2 linked regions of the Saccharomyces cerevisiae S288C genome follow. The gene in region 1 interacts genetically with each later gene. Each region holds a gene or a part of one and is shown in the gene's direction. Other genes may lie near its edges.

Region 1 (8,564 bases):
GGGTGAAACATAGCTGAATTTTCTGCAATTCTTAGAATCCTATTATGAAATATTGGGGCCTTGAGCATTAAACCGACACCCGAACAAATTGAATATTTCGAAAATTGTTCTTTTCGATGTCATTTTTACCAAAAGTTAGATAGGAGATGACCCAGCGGTTACCTGTATTTCAGAGGTTACAACAAATTAAAGCGGTCTTATATTACTTTAGAAGCACCAACTTACATATTCTGGATAAACAGTATTTCTAACTTACTACTAGTTTAGTAACACATGTTCGTTACAGATAAGCCATTCAAAGATAATTAAAATCAGTTGCGCCATTATTAAAGGCCGAGAAATATATCAAGGTTTTCAGCTTAAAGGGATTTGCTGACTTTCTTATGCACTAACGCGCCAACATCGTCCTTTTAAAAATTAAGTCAACTCATCGCTTAGCGCTTAGCGCTAATGCTGGTCTTCCTCGAAGAGAACATGCGTTCGTATTGAGATATAAGTAAATATTGTGGTAATTACCGGAGTTTCATTGTTAAAAAAGAGTATGGAATTATGAATACAGAATAGGCCAGGAATTTTCATGAGACTATGGGAAATTGCCAAGGGAATCAATAATTCCACATAATGTAATTTTTCTTCTTCCTTTCTATGTGCCCTCGTTTATTTCCTATTACATTGCTACTCCTTTTATTTCAGCTTTTATTAATTCTGAAATCATTAGTAATATAAATTCTGGGTTAGGAAATCATAATTGATCTCATTCCAATGCACTAGAATACCTATGTACACACGAAAGTGCTTAAGTTATCATATGACGAACAGAGAATATCATATGTTCCATTTTTATTTTTCTATAAACAAAAGTTGCGTATTATTGTATTTTTTTGTTGTGTTATGCAATAAGCAGAGGCTACGATGTATTAATTAATCGGTTCCTCAAAAAAAAAAAAAAGTGATCTATAAAGCGTTGACGATAATCAATACTTTGTTATATTTTGGTAGTCCTGACGGGTTTCAAAATAAACAAAGTTAACAATCCGCCTACTAATTTGATTTGCTTTTTTTCATGGGCAGTAACATCAAGAAAACACTTTGTTGTTAAGCCCATCTAAGTATCATATTACCAAATCTTCTGTGAGTAAAATGATATAATAGGACTCAACGTGACTGTCAGTCTTCAGTAGCCCTGGTGTTTAATATATCGAATCAGTCTTAGGAATTAAAAAGCCCCTATATTACAGAGGGCATTGGACATTATTTATCAATGTACTTTGAAGTTTGCTTGCGTGTGTTTTCACCGGTCTAAAACATTCTTTTGTAGAAGGGTTTCTCGTCATGCTGTAATTTTTCGTTATCATAATCACCATCCCTTCTAGAAGCTGGTACCCAGGATTCAGATTTCCAAGGTAATACACCGTCCATCCACATCTCATCAACTTCTTCTAAAGTTAGACCTTTTGTTTCTGGAACAAAGAAAAAGACGTAAAAATATGAAAACGCTAAGCAACCCATGAAAACGTAACCGTAGTAGAAATTAATTGCCGAAGTAATAAAAGGAGTGAAAAACCCGATTAGGAACCCCCACAATAAGTTGGCCGCTGTTGCAACGGACATACACTTGGATCTCACCCTTAATGGAAATGTTTCAGAAATAATCACATAACATACAGGTCCCCAGGTGCAGGAAAAGCAGAAAATGTAAAAACACGTGAAAACAATCGTACAATTACCAGCACCTTTAGATGATGGTTCACTTTTACCGTTCGGATATAGTCTTGTGACGCCAACGGAGGCGTAAATAACCATGCACGCCGTCATGGTGGCTGCTCCAAGTAAAAGACATCTACGACGGCCCAACTTATCAACAGAATAAAGTGAAAAGAAGCAAGAAGCAAAATTCACAATACCCAAGACAATTGAAGTCTCAAAAGAGTCATTCATACCGACAGATTTGAAGATAGTAGTACCGTAGTAGAAGAAATAGTTGTCACCGGTTAGTTGCTGCAGAGAGTTAATCATGACTGTCATCGTTAAACGTTGAAAAACTTTAGTCTTTCTCGAAAATAATTCCTTCCATGAAGCAGTTCCCATTGCTTCTTCTGCCTCCACACCAGCAACAAGAAGATCAATCTCTGCAACCACAGCAGGATCGTCAACACTAAGCTTGTTCGACTTGGCAAAAGAAGCTTTAGCTTGCTCAATCTTACCGACTTGCACCAAAAACCGAGGAGATTCCGGAACAAACGTCATACCACCAATCATAATAATAGCCCATGCAAAACATAGACCAAGCGGAACACGCCACTGGACAGAATTCGAGTAAGTCTTGGTACCATAATTGGTACAATAACCCAAGAAAATTGCGAAAGTCACCATCAATTGCCAACAAGCTAGCAACGTACCTCTGATATGCTTTGGCGCAGTTTCCGAAATAAGCATCGGGGCAAGAACACTAATGGAACCAGCACCTATACCAGCGATAATTCTTCCAATAAAATACTGATACCACTTATCTATAGAGGCAATTTGAATGACAATACCAACCATATAAACGACAATAACTATAATCAAACCCATGCAGCGGCCGTAAATATCACCCAATTTAGACAAGAAAAGACAGCCAATGGCGCTTCCCACATTGAAGATGGACACAATCAACCCAGTTCTCACATTAGATAAGTAGTAAGTGTTCTTGGAATGGCTATAATTACCAAATCTTCTTAAAAAATCAGTCTGATTGACGAAACCAGAAATCGTACCTGTGTCCCAACCGGACATAAATCCACCGAAAGCCATACATAAACACATGATAGAAACAGTAGCATAGGCTGAAGCAGGCTTTTCTGGAACAACAACTTCCTCTGCCTCTTCCCCATTATACTCGGAAAAGTCCTTGTTTTCCTCCACTGTAGGTACTGACAGATGTGAAGAATTTTCTATCGAAGGGCAGCCATCATCTTCTGCCTCTTCGAAAATCGGTTCTTCTGGCAAGTTGGTTTTACGATCAGTCATGGTTTTTGCTGGCGTTCTGAGCTAACTAAAAGTGACTTATAAAAAATGCAATCTAAAATAAGAATGAAACAAAAATGGTCGTTTAAATATATCTAGTCAAGCTTCATCCCTTACAATGGTTAGCGATGATATTCCGTCGTCCAAAAGATTACGACCATGCCAGTTCATATTATTTTACTTAAGAGTTCATGTCTTTCATGCGAAGAAGCGTTCGGAAATTCCAAAACTTCTTAGAGTTCAGGAACAGGCCCGGTCGCGGAATTATTCTCGGGATAATTCCAGCCGCTTGGCAGGTAGGCTAAATTACACATTTCAAGAACTTTCTCCGGCCTTTTCTGTGAGATACGTTTATAAGTTGCTGCAGCAGGATGCTCTAGGCTGCTTTCTCTGGAATTTCTCTCCTTCTCCACATACCTCGTTGTTGAATCCCCGCGGAGGTGATATAATAAAGTTGCGTGAAAGCGTAAATGCCTAGACGGAGAAAAGAAAACGGGGAAATAAACTTTGCATTATTTTTCCTCCGTGGAGAATCCTCGGAGAAACACGGGAATATTTGAAACTATTTGCAACATTGTCCATTGAAATAGTCACAATCCTAGAAGCTAATTCACCGGAAAAAGTAATTCACACTTAAGAATTGTATCTTCCATTACCGCTACGGTAATTGATACGGTTTTGAGGAGTAAGTTCATAAACGTCTGACGAATTATAAATTAGGACACTTGTTCACATATCTTGGTGCGAAAAACTACTGTTTCTTGATGACTATATAGAAAGTGCTCAATATTGAAAAGAAAAACATGACGATCATCCATAATCCTAAATGGTGGAAAGAAGCCACCGTCTACCAAATTTATCCTGCTAGTTTCAAGGACTCCAACAATGACGGATGGGGTGATTTAGCTGGGATTACCTCCAAACTTGACTATGTCAAAGAATTAGGTGTCGATGCGATATGGGTGTGCCCATTTTATGACTCTCCTCAAGAAGATATGGGTTACGATATTGCCAACTATGAGAAGGTTTGGCCACGTTACGGTACCAATGAGGATTGTTTCCAAATGATAGAAGAAGCTCATAAGAGAGGTATCAAGGTTATTGTTGACCTGGTTATCAACCACTGTTCTGAAGAGCATGAATGGTTCAAGGAGAGTAGATCTTCTAAGGCTAATCCAAAGCGTGACTGGTTTTTCTGGAGACCTCCAAAGGGTTACGATGAGAAAGGTAATCCAATTCCTCCCAACAATTGGAGATCTTTCTTTGGTGGATCTGCTTGGAGATATGACGAAAAAACTGGTGAGTTCTTTCTGCATGTGTTTGCTCTTGGCCAACCTGATTTCAATTGGGAAAATGAAGAGTGCCGTAAAGCCATTTATGACTCCTCAGTGGGCTATTGGCTACGTCACAACGTTGATGGCTTTCGTATTGACGTAGGCAGCATGTATTCTAAGGTTGAGGGCCTACCCGATGCTCCTATCACTGATCCTACAGTTCCTTACCAAAAAGGAACTGAATTTTTCATAAATGGGCCACGTATCCATGAGTATCATAAAGAAATGCATAACTACATGCTCTCGCAAGTTCCAGAGGGTAAAGAAATCATGACTGTTGGAGAAGTTGGTATCGGGAATGAAGACGACTTCAGAGTTTATACCAGTGCCAAAGAAGGAGAACTAAATATGATGTTCAACTTCAAGCACACCTCAGTAGGTGAAAACCCAAAATGCAAGTACGAACTTATTCCCTTTACTTTAAAAGACTTTAAGCTGGCTCTTGCTGAAAGCTTTCTGTTTATCGAAAACACAGATTGCTGGTCGACCATCTATTTGGAGAATCATGATCAACCTCGTAGCGTTTCGCGTTTTGGCTCAGATTCTCCTAAATGGCGTGAGATTTCGTCCAAGATGTTGGCTACTCTCATCATTTCATTGACTGGTACTGTTTTTATCTACCAAGGACAAGAATTGGGTATGCCCAACTTCAAAAACAGAAAAATTGAGCAAATCAAATGCGTTGAAGGTACTGGTACATATGCCGCCATTAAACGTGATTATGGTGAAGATTCTGAAAAGATGAAAAAGTTTTTTGAAGCATTAGCTTTGATCTCTAGAGATCATGGGAGAACACCATTCCCATGGAGTGCTGATGAGCCTTCTGCAGGTTTCTCGAAGGATGCCAAACCATGGATTGACATGAATGAATCATTTAGAGACGGAATCAACGCAGAAGCTGAGTTAAAAGATAAAAACTCAGTCTTCTTTTTCTGGAAAAAGGCCTTACAAGTTAGAAAGGAGCACAAAGATATCCTTGTTTATGGACATAACTTTCAGTTCATTGATCTTGATAATGACAAGCTATTCATGTTTACAAAGGACACAGATAACAAAAAAATGTTTGCTGTTTTCAATTTCAGTAGCGATAATACGGACTTTTCAGTTCCTGATAATGAGGCCTCCTACACCATGTTTTTTGGCAACTATGCAAACTCAAATGGTGATTCCCGCACCTTGCAGCCATGGGAAGGAAGACTTTACTTGTTGAAGTAACGAGCACATTTAACATAAACGTACTGATCTTTCGAAACAAATAGTTATGCCGATATTTATGAATAATAAACTTGTATATTTCTTTTTACTTTTGCTTTTCATATGTGAGCATTGGATACTTAACTTACGCTGTACGCTATTTTCAATTGCAATTTATATATGTATATAGAAGACAGAAAATTCACTGAACCTTTTTCCGAAGAAATATAAAATAAAAAGCAACGTACAGCAGAAAAATAGAAAACATCATTATTACTGTTTCTATTGTCTAAATTTAGCCCTTTAAACCCCATCATCATAAGTACTAATTACCACGAATTCAATAATTAGTAAATACATTCGACTATTCTCACCCTAACTTTCGTCACTTTATCTTAAAACACTAGCTAAAAGTCGTTTATTATAACAAAACTAAAAATTTCGTAGTATGCACGCCTTATTGCCCAGTATTTTGTTAACTGTATGGATTGTACTAGTAAAAAAAATCTTGACGAAATTGAGTATAAACAAAATTTTAAAAAGCATAGTGCCAAATCAACAGATCTTAGTGAGGTGCAGGCCTTGTTCTTAACAAAAGCAAACCCCTCTTTATATATTGATATATAGGTGAACTAACTCAAATCATGTAAAGCTTTTCCTAAAGGAGCTGTGAGACTCCATTCCGAGAAAGTAACTTTCAATCCGCCACGCTCAGGTGTGCAAGCCATTGGTCCAACAAGGTAATGGTCAGAAGTTGGAAATGGAGCCAAACGTACTAACGGCCATGTTTTTTTATCAGAGGACACCTGAATCCTCAAAACGCCCTTTTCAACAGTAACACGAAGCCAGAAATCGCGAGCATTTCCGCCATAAACAGCAGTTGACCAATCTGATTTTCCATTTGTCAAAACACTGCTTAGCATTGCGTGGCCATCAGAAATTTCTATGCCAGCTTTGAGCCAATGTCCATCATCTATACGAACCATGATACCAGCCTGATCATAAAGACTCTCGTAGCTTCCCTGAACACGGACTTGTGCAGTAAAAGCACTACCTGTCTCTACTCCCAAAAAATGACCGCTATCACGGGTAAATCCGTAAAATGTTTCACGCCAAAAGTCAGTTTTTTCATCTGTTTCCAGAGTGACTTTTCCTGCCTCTTGAAAAACAGATTTTGGCTTATTGAGCCATGTTCCTTGCGATAATTCAGTATTCTTAGATTCGACCATTGTGTTTGGTAATTTATCTTGTTTGATGGAGAAGCCGTCACTTGGACTTTTGTTAATATTAGGTCAGGTTAAATACCTAGGAAATCTGTGCGTATAGGATCATCCCTTTCTAACTCCATCGAAAATGTTACTTGTTTTGTTCGAGGCTATTTGATGACCCTTTCATATGGACGCATGCAGGTGGCCATATTTTCAGTTTAAAGTTTCTCCGCATGTTAATTTGCGCTGAAAAATTAGAACGGTACTTATTTCCCCGAAAATTTCTCAAATCCGAACATAAAGCTACCAGCCACGCGTTTTCTATACGGTTGGAACTTGAGCAGTTTTACATAAGTTGTAAACTATAATTTTCTCCTCGAAGATAGATTATACCAGAAAGAAGCTACTATACACAGTCGAGTTGAGAATGAGCAACTTAAACCAGAACATATACCAATAATTAATAATCTCTCTGCGTATTTAGTCGACTAAAACTGAACTAGCTTTTTATTTATTCTTATAAGAAAATACGGTACATAATCATAGAAGACAACACTTGCTTTCGATAATTCCTCCAGAAAGTGGATCCATCATTTTCGATAGTTTGTAGTTGTACTATCTTTTTCAGTGATCTTTCTTATCACCTTACAAGGATTACCTGCTGCCACTACATTTTCTGGTATGTCACGAATCACAACACTACCGGCGGCAATCACGGAGTTTTTACCTATATTTACTCCAGGAATTATTGACACTCCACCTCCAATCCATACATTGTCTCCAATGGTCACAGGCATGGCATATTCTAATCCTTGAAGCCGTCTTTCCACGTCAATTGGATGACCTGCCGTATAAATACCAACATTAGGGGCGATAAATACGTTGTCACCGATGACTACCTTGGCCCCATCCAATATAACAAGATTGTGATTGGCGTAAAAGTTGTCTCCGATATAGATGTTACTTCCGTAATCACAGTAAAACGGCGGTTCAATTATAAAGTTATCAGTGCAACTACCAAGTAATTCTCTTATTACCTGGCTCTTTTTATTCTCATCAGCGGGGCTAAGGGTGTTGTATTCGTGCAATTTTATTTTAGTCTCTTTTCTAATTTTCAAAAGATCTGGATCATAGTTCGCATCATAAAGCTCACCAGGTACTATATTTTCTAATACGCCCATTTTTCTCTAGAAGCCTTGTTTATATGCTTATTAGAATGCTTCTCTATGTTCTTGTTGTAGTACGTGAGATCTCACTCTTTATACTTGCGTCTTTTCGAAGTAATGCTAAATAGTGCCTGGCCCAGCGTCACAGGGTGTTTAACGAGCGCGTACTATTTGTGAATTTTTTTGGGCACATTGAAAACTTTAATTTTTTAAGTTATTCAGGCACGGCACACTATGACAGGAGGTTACGTCGGAGAAATAGCGTTATGGCCGATTGTGAGAACATTTAAGAAATTTCAATCCATAACAATAAAGTGGCAGTGTCACCTAAAATATTAGTACCAACTTGCCCAATTGGCAGAAGGAAAATAAGGATATCAGGCCACCGACTTGGTACTATTTTTTTATGGTAAATGTGTACTTTTACTAAGCTTAATTTGAAACAGACGTCATATGAATGTTTCTGGGGCTACTTGTTACAATTCTCGGTCCGCAACAACTGAACTCTGTACTGTTCTGTCTCAATGCTTGGTTTCTTGAATGGAATTTCACTCCACCCTTCGGAACGTTACAAAATTTATACATTTTAAAAATTATTCATGAGAGAAAGATGCTATAGTAATCTGTTCACCCTGTCAACTCGTGTAGCTCATGTT
Region 2 (9,755 bases), on another chromosome or scaffold:
GAGAGATATTCCGTGTATGACAAGAGTTGTTTCATAATTATTGAATTCATTCCAAATTGTGCTCCATTTCTTGAATTTCTTCTCTAAGTAAGGCGCGATAATATTATCAGCCGTCACATGAAGTTCGTCTTCTAGTAAAACTTTATAACTAGTCTTATTGGACATCAATAATATCGTGCTCTCTTTCTCATGATTCAATGGGATTATATGAAAATTTTCGAGAGATCCTGTTTTCAAGCTAGAAATTGAATAATTTTTTAAATCTATCTTATGCACATATCCGGGACAAGTTAAAACCACCTTATAATCCACTATCTTTAAATCAGTAATTTTTCTTCTCGAAGCATTTTGTATCATTCTAGAAACGGGTTGATGAGAGGAAGCAGAAACTGTCATTGAAAATACAGAATTGTTTGAAAGCGCCGCTACAAGAACGTCTTCGTACCATACTATATGAGTGACCCAGTCTTTTGAGCCTGCGTCACTTAATCTAATACTACTCTCAAAATAAAATTCTGGAGTATTTTCTGAATTTTTGCGAATGCTAAAGAATTGAAGCTCACCGTCTTCATTACCAACCACGATTGATGATTCAATAGGATTCCATTCAAAACAATGGTAGGTTCTGCTACTTAAGTTTCCTTTTGAATCGAGATTTGTGAGCATTTTGTTATCTTTGAACACAGAAACATTACCATTATTGCTCAATACGGCCATCCAATCGTCTATTGGTGATGGCTTACAGACTCTGGGATAACAAACAGGTTGTGAATTTAATAACCCATTCTGTTGCGCCAGCTCGAAATCCAGTTTATTTTCAAATTCTAGCGGGAATTCTTTCACATGAAATAAATTCTTACTGTTGCAATTAATGTCTTTAGCATATTTTGGCTGCCCAATGCTAATATCAGGAAATGTGGTCAAATATAGAGTACCATCCCGAGCCCATGTTAAATTGTTCTTCCAATCCTCAAATTCCTTTCTATCTACCAATAAGTCCTTTAGAAGCTTCATTATGAATTGAATTGGCTTTCCTAACTCCTAACAAAGTTAGTCATGCTGCTTTTTTCATTATATATAATTCTGTCTAATCATTGTTTAGATCTCATTATTGAGAAAAGTGCGTTGCGCGTAAGAAACAGAATACACTTAAGGTGCGAAATGACGGAAGAAATACGCCATTTAAAGCCTTCCAATACGAAGCAAAACTTCAAAAGCAAATGCTGGGAAGTTGGATTATCTTTGGGAAGGTCTATTTCCTTTTTTATTGAAATAAATCATTCAGCTAATTGCATACCGTGGCTAATGTCACAACAGATGTAAGCAACAATTTAATCTTACATAAATGTGTTGCAGTTGTGGTATTTCGTAATATATACGCAATGATTCTCTCCTATTATTGAACTGCTATGCAGGTATTCGCTACATTGTTTTTCTACAGGCAGTCGTCGACATAAATAACTTGTATAATCATTTAAGCGCATCCCAGTAATTAACTATTACCGAACGATAGAGTAGTCAAGATATTCTCTTCCCATCACTAACATCAAGAGCGCCACTTTTTGGCAATTAAACTAGACTTCTGGATGGCGCTAGCCCATTACCTACAGTACTAAAGATTATTTGCGATATTCTGATAAAGAGCCTTGAACTTCTCGGGTGACCCCCTTAGCGTTTATATAGCGGGAGTGCCAAACGAGAGGAACATCAACAACCAGTATAACAACGTTCTTGTGTAGAAGATAACTAAATTCATCTCCAAAAAGAACAAGAGCAGAACTTCAATTAGTAAAACCATGAATGTGCTATGGATTATAGCACTAGTTGGCCAGCTGATGCGGCTCGTTCAGGGAACAGCTACCTGTGCCATGTATGGGAACTGTGGGAAAAAGTCAGTATTTGGAAACGAATTACCTTGCCCTGTGCCACGTAGTTTTGAACCTCCTGTTCTTTCAGATGAAACAAGCAAACTTTTGGTTGAAGTTTGTGGTGAAGAGTGGAAAGAGGTCCGTTATGCCTGCTGTACTAAAGATCAAGTGGTAGCACTGAGAGATAACCTACAAAAGGCTCAACCTTTAATTTCCTCATGCCCAGCATGCCTCAAGAATTTTAATAACCTGTTCTGTCACTTCACTTGCGCTGCTGACCAAGGAAGGTTTGTCAATATTACCAAGGTAGAAAAGTCAAAAGAAGATAAAGATATTGTTGCGGAATTAGACGTTTTCATGAATTCGTCTTGGGCATCTGAATTTTATGACTCATGTAAGAATATTAAATTTTCTGCTACCAACGGTTATGCGATGGACCTAATCGGAGGTGGTGCTAAAAATTACAGTCAATTCTTGAAGTTTTTGGGGGATGCTAAACCTATGCTTGGTGGATCCCCCTTTCAGATTAATTACAAGTATGATTTAGCAAATGAAGAAAAAGAATGGCAGGAATTTAATGATGAGGTTTATGCTTGCGATGATGCTCAATATAAATGTGCGTGTTCTGATTGTCAAGAGTCTTGCCCCCATTTAAAACCTTTAAAAGATGGCGTGTGTAAAGTTGGCCCTCTGCCATGTTTTTCCCTTTCTGTTCTGATCTTTTACACAATCTGTGCACTTTTTGCATTTATGTGGTATTATCTCTGTAAAAGAAAAAAAAACGGGGCAATGATTGTGGACGACGATATTGTTCCAGAATCAGGTTCCTTAGATGAATCAGAGACGAATGTATTCGAAAGTTTCAATAATGAAACTAACTTTTTTAATGGTAAACTCGCTAACCTATTTACGAAAGTGGGACAATTTTCCGTTGAAAACCCCTACAAGATATTAATAACCACTGTTTTTAGTATCTTTGTATTCAGTTTCATCATATTTCAGTACGCTACTCTTGAAACAGATCCAATTAATTTGTGGGTGAGTAAAAATTCTGAAAAATTCAAAGAAAAAGAGTACTTCGATGATAATTTTGGGCCATTTTACAGGACAGAGCAAATATTTGTTGTGAATGAGACAGGCCCTGTGTTATCATATGAGACACTTCACTGGTGGTTTGACGTTGAAAATTTTATTACGGAAGAGCTACAATCGTCAGAAAATATTGGATACCAAGATCTCTGCTTCAGACCAACAGAAGATTCTACATGCGTAATAGAGTCTTTTACTCAGTATTTTCAGGGGGCCTTACCAAACAAGGATAGCTGGAAAAGGGAACTGCAGGAATGTGGGAAATTTCCTGTAAACTGTCTACCTACTTTCCAGCAACCTCTAAAAACTAATCTTCTTTTCAGTGACGATGATATTCTCAATGCGCATGCGTTTGTTGTAACACTTCTATTGACCAACCACACTCAATCAGCTAATCGCTGGGAAGAAAGATTGGAAGAGTATTTATTGGATTTAAAGGTCCCCGAGGGCCTGAGGATCAGTTTTAATACCGAAATATCCTTGGAAAAAGAGCTTAATAATAATAATGATATCTCGACCGTTGCAATATCATACCTGATGATGTTTTTATATGCTACATGGGCCTTGAGGAGAAAGGATGGGAAAACTAGGTTGTTACTTGGAATATCTGGTTTACTCATAGTTTTGGCTTCTATTGTTTGTGCAGCCGGATTTTTAACTCTTTTTGGTTTGAAGTCGACATTGATCATAGCAGAAGTAATACCGTTTCTAATTTTAGCAATAGGAATAGATAATATTTTCTTGATTACACATGAGTATGATAGAAATTGCGAGCAAAAACCGGAGTATTCAATTGATCAAAAAATAATAAGCGCTATCGGGAGAATGTCTCCTTCCATTTTAATGTCATTGCTATGTCAAACCGGATGCTTCTTGATAGCTGCATTTGTTACAATGCCAGCTGTCCATAATTTTGCTATATATTCCACAGTTTCTGTTATATTCAACGGAGTATTACAGCTAACAGCGTATGTGTCCATTTTGTCTCTCTACGAAAAGAGATCCAATTATAAACAAATTACCGGAAATGAAGAAACTAAGGAATCATTTTTGAAAACGTTTTATTTTAAGATGTTAACGCAAAAGAGGCTCATAATCATTATCTTCTCGGCTTGGTTTTTCACATCTCTGGTTTTCTTACCAGAAATTCAATTTGGGCTAGATCAAACATTGGCTGTTCCACAGGATTCCTACCTGGTTGACTATTTTAAGGATGTTTATAGCTTCCTAAACGTAGGACCACCGGTTTACATGGTCGTGAAGAATTTAGATTTGACTAAAAGACAAAACCAACAGAAAATATGTGGTAAATTTACAACTTGCGAAAGAGACTCATTAGCTAATGTACTGGAGCAAGAAAGACACAGGTCAACAATTACGGAGCCATTGGCTAATTGGCTGGACGATTATTTCATGTTTTTAAATCCTCAAAACGACCAGTGTTGTAGATTAAAGAAGGGAACAGATGAGGTTTGTCCTCCCTCTTTTCCAAGTAGACGTTGTGAAACTTGTTTCCAGCAGGGTTCTTGGAATTACAACATGTCAGGGTTTCCTGAGGGCAAGGACTTCATGGAATACCTAAGCATATGGATTAATGCGCCTAGTGACCCCTGCCCTCTAGGTGGTCGTGCGCCATATTCGACTGCGTTAGTTTATAATGAAACGAGTGTGTCTGCGTCAGTTTTCAGAACAGCTCATCATCCTTTGAGATCCCAAAAGGACTTTATCCAGGCGTATAGTGATGGAGTTAGGATATCAAGTTCTTTCCCCGAACTAGATATGTTTGCATACTCGCCGTTTTACATTTTTTTTGTTCAATATCAAACTTTGGGACCATTGACGTTGAAGCTAATAGGGAGTGCCATTATCCTAATTTTTTTCATTTCATCTGTTTTCTTGCAGAATATACGCAGCTCATTCTTACTGGCTTTGGTCGTTACCATGATTATCGTAGATATTGGTGCTTTGATGGCCCTACTAGGTATCTCACTCAACGCTGTCAGTTTAGTCAATTTAATTATTTGTGTCGGTTTGGGTGTCGAGTTTTGTGTTCATATTGTTAGATCATTTACAGTGGTCCCCAGTGAAACCAAGAAAGACGCAAACTCAAGAGTTCTCTATTCCTTGAATACCATAGGTGAGTCCGTCATCAAAGGTATAACTCTAACCAAATTCATTGGAGTTTGTGTACTTGCATTCGCCCAATCGAAAATATTTGATGTATTTTACTTTAGAATGTGGTTTACACTAATCATTGTAGCAGCATTGCATGCTCTCCTATTTTTACCTGCTTTACTTTCATTGTTTGGTGGTGAAAGCTATAGGGACGATTCCATCGAAGCAGAAGATTAGCCATAGCAGATTATACTATATTTTACGTAGTGAAAAAATAGGTAAAAATTCGTTAATTATTCTGATGCCACACCAGAAAATCTGTGGGAAAATTTTTCGAGTCAGAAATGATAACACTAACACAGGCTTCGTTGTTATCGTGCATTGAAGTTAGATACTTCTACTATATTTAATCTTTAATAGTGTCATAAAAGTATTATTGGTTTCGGGCGAAAATCGTCATTTTCGCACACAGAACTTCAAAAGAGGAAAGGCCAAAAGAACTAAAACCGATTACTTCGGGGTGATTTTGTTCTGGCATCTTCTGGCACTCTTGGGCATCCTTAGCCATTTAGTATATTTATGAATACATTAAGGTGTTTGACACAAGCACTATCCAAAAGTGGGAGAGAAGCTCCAAAACTATATCAGAAAGTAATATTTCCAGGCCTGTTCAGAGAGGGTATACCAATTGCAAATGTCAAGAAAGTTGATGAAAAAATAATAGATAGCCCAACATCAACGTCAGTTAATGGAGAGGCAAAAAAAATAGTACGGCATGGTGTGAAGTATGAAAGGGAGCAAGTTAAGGAATACCTTTCAAGCCTGCCGACTTTAACGCTTTCTAGGAAACAAATTAGGGATGACTATGATGAGGAACGTGCAAAACGAATGTATATGTTCTCTAAACAAACGAATTCCTCGAATAAATTCCAGAAACTTCTTACAGCAAAGTCTCAAGAGTTTACTAGAGAACTATTGACGCTACTGATAGATTGCACATCGAATGAGAAGAATTCAGGGCCAGAACGCTTCACTCGTAAGTTTCTTAAGTTTAGTAATGACGAGATCCCTCCTCTCCCTGACTTTTCAAAGAACCCTCAATTGTTTGAAAATTATATTGGAATACTAAGTCATACAAAGTTCAATTTTCGTTCATCTTCCAAACTAAATGGTATTGTGCGTAAGATGCTGCGGCACCTACTTCATCCAACCAATAAGACGACTCTGCCGTTGCGTTCTGCTCAAGTTTATAATGACTCAATATACTTTTTCAGTGAGCACTTCGACTTTGCGTCTTGTAGAGAAATATTTGCACAAATGAAGGCTGAGGGGACTAAACCAAATACAATCACTTTTAATCTTTTACTGCGTAATGTAGTGAAAAACTCGCATATTAGAAAAACGAAGCACCCTGACGATGAGGTCCTTTTTTATCTTAGAAGTATGCGTAATCATGGAGTTTTTGCAGATGTAATAACTTGGACGACATGTTATAACTTTCTTCGTGATGAAGTTTCGAGACAATTGTACATTGTTCAAATGGGTGAACATTTAGGAAATTTTAACGTAAATTTTGTTTATACTGTGCTAAGGAACGGAGATTATAGAGCAGAGGACTGTTTAAAAGTTTTAGCAGCAAATTCACTACCGATTTCCCGTAAGACGTTCTATCTGTGCATAGAACGACTACTAAACGAGGAACAACTTGAAACCGCATCTAAATTACTTGACTATGGTTTTCAGCACTTGAAAAGTAATTTTAAGTTGGACTCGGAGGCAATGAATCATTTCATGCGGGTATTTGCTAATAAGGGAAGAAGTGATTTGGCATTCCTTTGCTATAATACTTGTCGTAAGATTTACAAAATTAAACCTGATTCTCAGACGTTCGAAATGTTATTTAAAGCGTTAGTTAGGAATGGCAACACCAAGAATTTTGGGGCAGTCCTACAGTATATCAAAGACTTAAAGGTTAGTGAAGGATTTGGATTGCGGACAAGTTATTGGAGAACCAAAGCAGACTCAATTTTCAAATTTGGTAGTCCTAATACGCTATCAGAAAAGTCAATTGAAAAAGCAAGAAAATTGTTGGGCAACCTGATTGCTTCCGAGGGTGAGTTCTCTTGGAAAATTTGGAAAGAAAGTGATTCTTCACAAAAAAAAATACTACGTTTTTTGGGTTGTATCCCCACTACTTTACGCTGCACCAATACAGCACAAGATCATCAGAAGCCCACAAACCTACCCTCAAACATTTCCCAGAAAAAAAGAGAATATCGAAATCGGGTTAAAGCAATAGCCACAAAGGCTGCTTTGGAAAAAAGAATGGCGTATATCAAAGACAATGATGTAGCTTTCAAAAAAGAGCTAGTAAAGAGGAGAATAGTTGGGGAGGTTTGATGAGGGAGGCATAAGTGCCCTGGCATTTGGACAGGAATTTTATTAATATAGGCATTTTTATTGTACATATATACTTCATAGATCATATTCATTTAATTAGACTTCGAAAAGTTGAATCTCTTACGGCAAAGGAGAACAAGAGAAAGGTTAATTATTAGGTCTTATAAAATTTGTTCAATTAATTATAAAGGTGATTACAATACCGGAATATTGGCCGAACAATACTTGAACCAAATTCAGATGAAATTAATAATAGGTAGACACGAGCTGGTGAAAAACAAGCACAATATAGAAAGGTTCGAATATATTAATTATTAGAAAAAACTCAGATGTTTTCAGAACCGGAGGTATGACCGTTTTGACTAACATGATGATCGGCCTCATGGGCTTCATCATCTACAGGAACTTCAGTAGTCCATTCAACTTCCTCTTCTTCGACTACTTGACCGGGGATATCTCCATTTTGGATTTCAGGTTCTTCTTCTTCTTCACCATCTTCGTCTTCATAGACGTCATCAACGGTCTGATGAAATGAAAGAGTTGGTTTGACTGCAGCCATGTCTAGGGTCCAAGATTCCAAGGCCGATTCAGCATCCATAATAATTTGGCGAGAAGCTTCATAGCCATCGTACGCTGGTCTAGCTTCACCTGGAGTGACAGGAGAGTCATCTAGCAGCTCCAATAAGGCCTTTCCGTATCCAGCAATCAGGGCAAATTTTTCAGAAAGCTCTCTTAATGAATCAAACATATAACTATAAGCAGCCTTTAATTTTTCACGTGTGATATTCGATAATTGAGCCTCCGCAACCAAAGATTCAGCTTCGGCACGAACTAGTTCTTGCTCTAAAACTGGGATTTTTGTTGATTGAGGATCTTTATATTTCAAATGGGCAATTTCATCTGTGATCTTTTCCTTACGATCTCTCGAAGGTTGAACAGAGGCTTCAATGTTCCTAATTGATTTTAATGTGACTCTGTATTGATCATATTTATCGATGAACTGGTCCTGTAGTTCACCCAACTCATATATTAAGACGCCTAATTTGTCGGTTACGTCGGAAACATCATCATCATTGTCAGCACCCCATAGAGACAGTTGCTTTGCAGCTTCACGGCGTTCGCTGGCAACAACTTCCATAGCTCTAAGGACACCTTTTTCAGTCTTAACCAATTGAGATAATTTACGAGCCAACTCTGGCCCAAAGTTACCAGCCGCATTTTTTCTAAAACTAGACGCAATAGAGGCCTTTCCGAAGAACTTGGACTTCGTTGAGGATGGTGGTGGTGGAGGAGCTTGTAGCTCAGCAGCCGTTGGAGCTCTTTGATTTCTTAAAGAGTAAGTTCTGTGCATTCTTGTGTTGGAGCTTTGAAAGTTTAATCTTTCGTATACCAAATAAAGAGAATTTACGGTCAAGCATTGGAATTGAGGAAAGAGGTTAACTGATTTTTTTCTTTTCTATCTCACCTGTTTATATATTGCGATTTAGCCGTTGCATCTTCCCGGTTTTTCCGTCTTTTTTTTAAAGGGCCCCTTTTTATCCCCTCTAACGCCTTTCGCAATCCCCTTTTCACTCGGCTGCAACGAGCGGGGTTGTAAGAGCTAAGCTTTCTAGCCTAGCAATGAAATAGAAGGACAAGTCAGACGATTGACGTCAAAAAAATGAGTCGCCTCTCTTTCTTTCTTAGGCCAACTAGACAGCCGTAGATGAAAATATGGAAAGATATGATAGACAGCTGAGACTATGGGGAGCATTGGGCCAAGATAGTTTGAACCGGTCCCGTGTGTGCGTGGTAGGACCTGCTACACCTTTGCTGCAGGAAGTTTTTAAGAATCTGGTGCTTGCCGGAATATCATCTCTTACTTGGCTCAAAGTAGAGTGTGCAGTTCAATCGGGTTCTCTGTTTTTAGCAGAGCTTAAAAAAGATCTTGAGCCATTGGCTTCTAAACAGCTAGAATATGAGGAAAATGACCTTAGAAAGACGTTACAGCAACCTCAGTATGATTGGACCCGCTTCTCGGTGGTGATCTTGACTTGTATTGGTGAGCAAACTGCGATGCTCGATTTAAATGAGATTAGGCGGCAGAGAGGAACAAAGTTTCCGCCTGTTCTAAACACTTTCGTCTCTGGATTTTATGGATATATATATCTGGTACTCTCAGAAACACATTTTGTTTTGCAAGCACACCCAGATAGTAAGAAGTATGATTTACGGTTACAGAACCCTTGGCCTGAACTAATAAATTACGTAGATACATTTGACCTAAGTAAAATGGATACAGCC

The links.
Region 2: mutations in IMA5 (region 1) and NCR1 together harm fitness more than expected from each alone (negative genetic interaction), as found in Saccharomyces cerevisiae (2 studies listed by BioGRID).

The regions. Positions count from the first base shown.
Region 1 is NC_001142.9:21,332-29,895, reverse strand, and holds IMA5 (oligo-1,6-glucosidase IMA5), read left to right. Parts: upstream 1-3,809; coding exon 3,810-5,555; downstream 5,556-8,564. Other genes in the region: hexose transporter HXT8, read right to left, coding at 1,300-3,009; REE1 (Ree1p), read right to left, coding at 6,167-6,763; YJL218W (acetyltransferase), read right to left, coding at 7,333-7,923. UniProt on the Saccharomyces cerevisiae protein: Alpha-glucosidase with specificity for isomaltose, maltose, and palatinose.
Region 2 is NC_001148.4:542,835-552,589, forward strand, and holds NCR1 (sphingolipid transporter), read left to right. Parts: upstream 1-1,796; coding exon 1,797-5,309; downstream 5,310-9,755. Other genes in the region: transcription factor TFIIIC subunit TFC8, read right to left, coding at 1-1,014; AEP3 (Aep3p), read left to right, coding at 5,652-7,472; lipid-binding protein LSP1, read right to left, coding at 7,798-8,823; ULA1 (Ula1p), read left to right, coding at 9,186-9,755. UniProt on the Saccharomyces cerevisiae protein: Involved in sphingolipid trafficking. May recycle sphingolipids between cellular membranous compartments.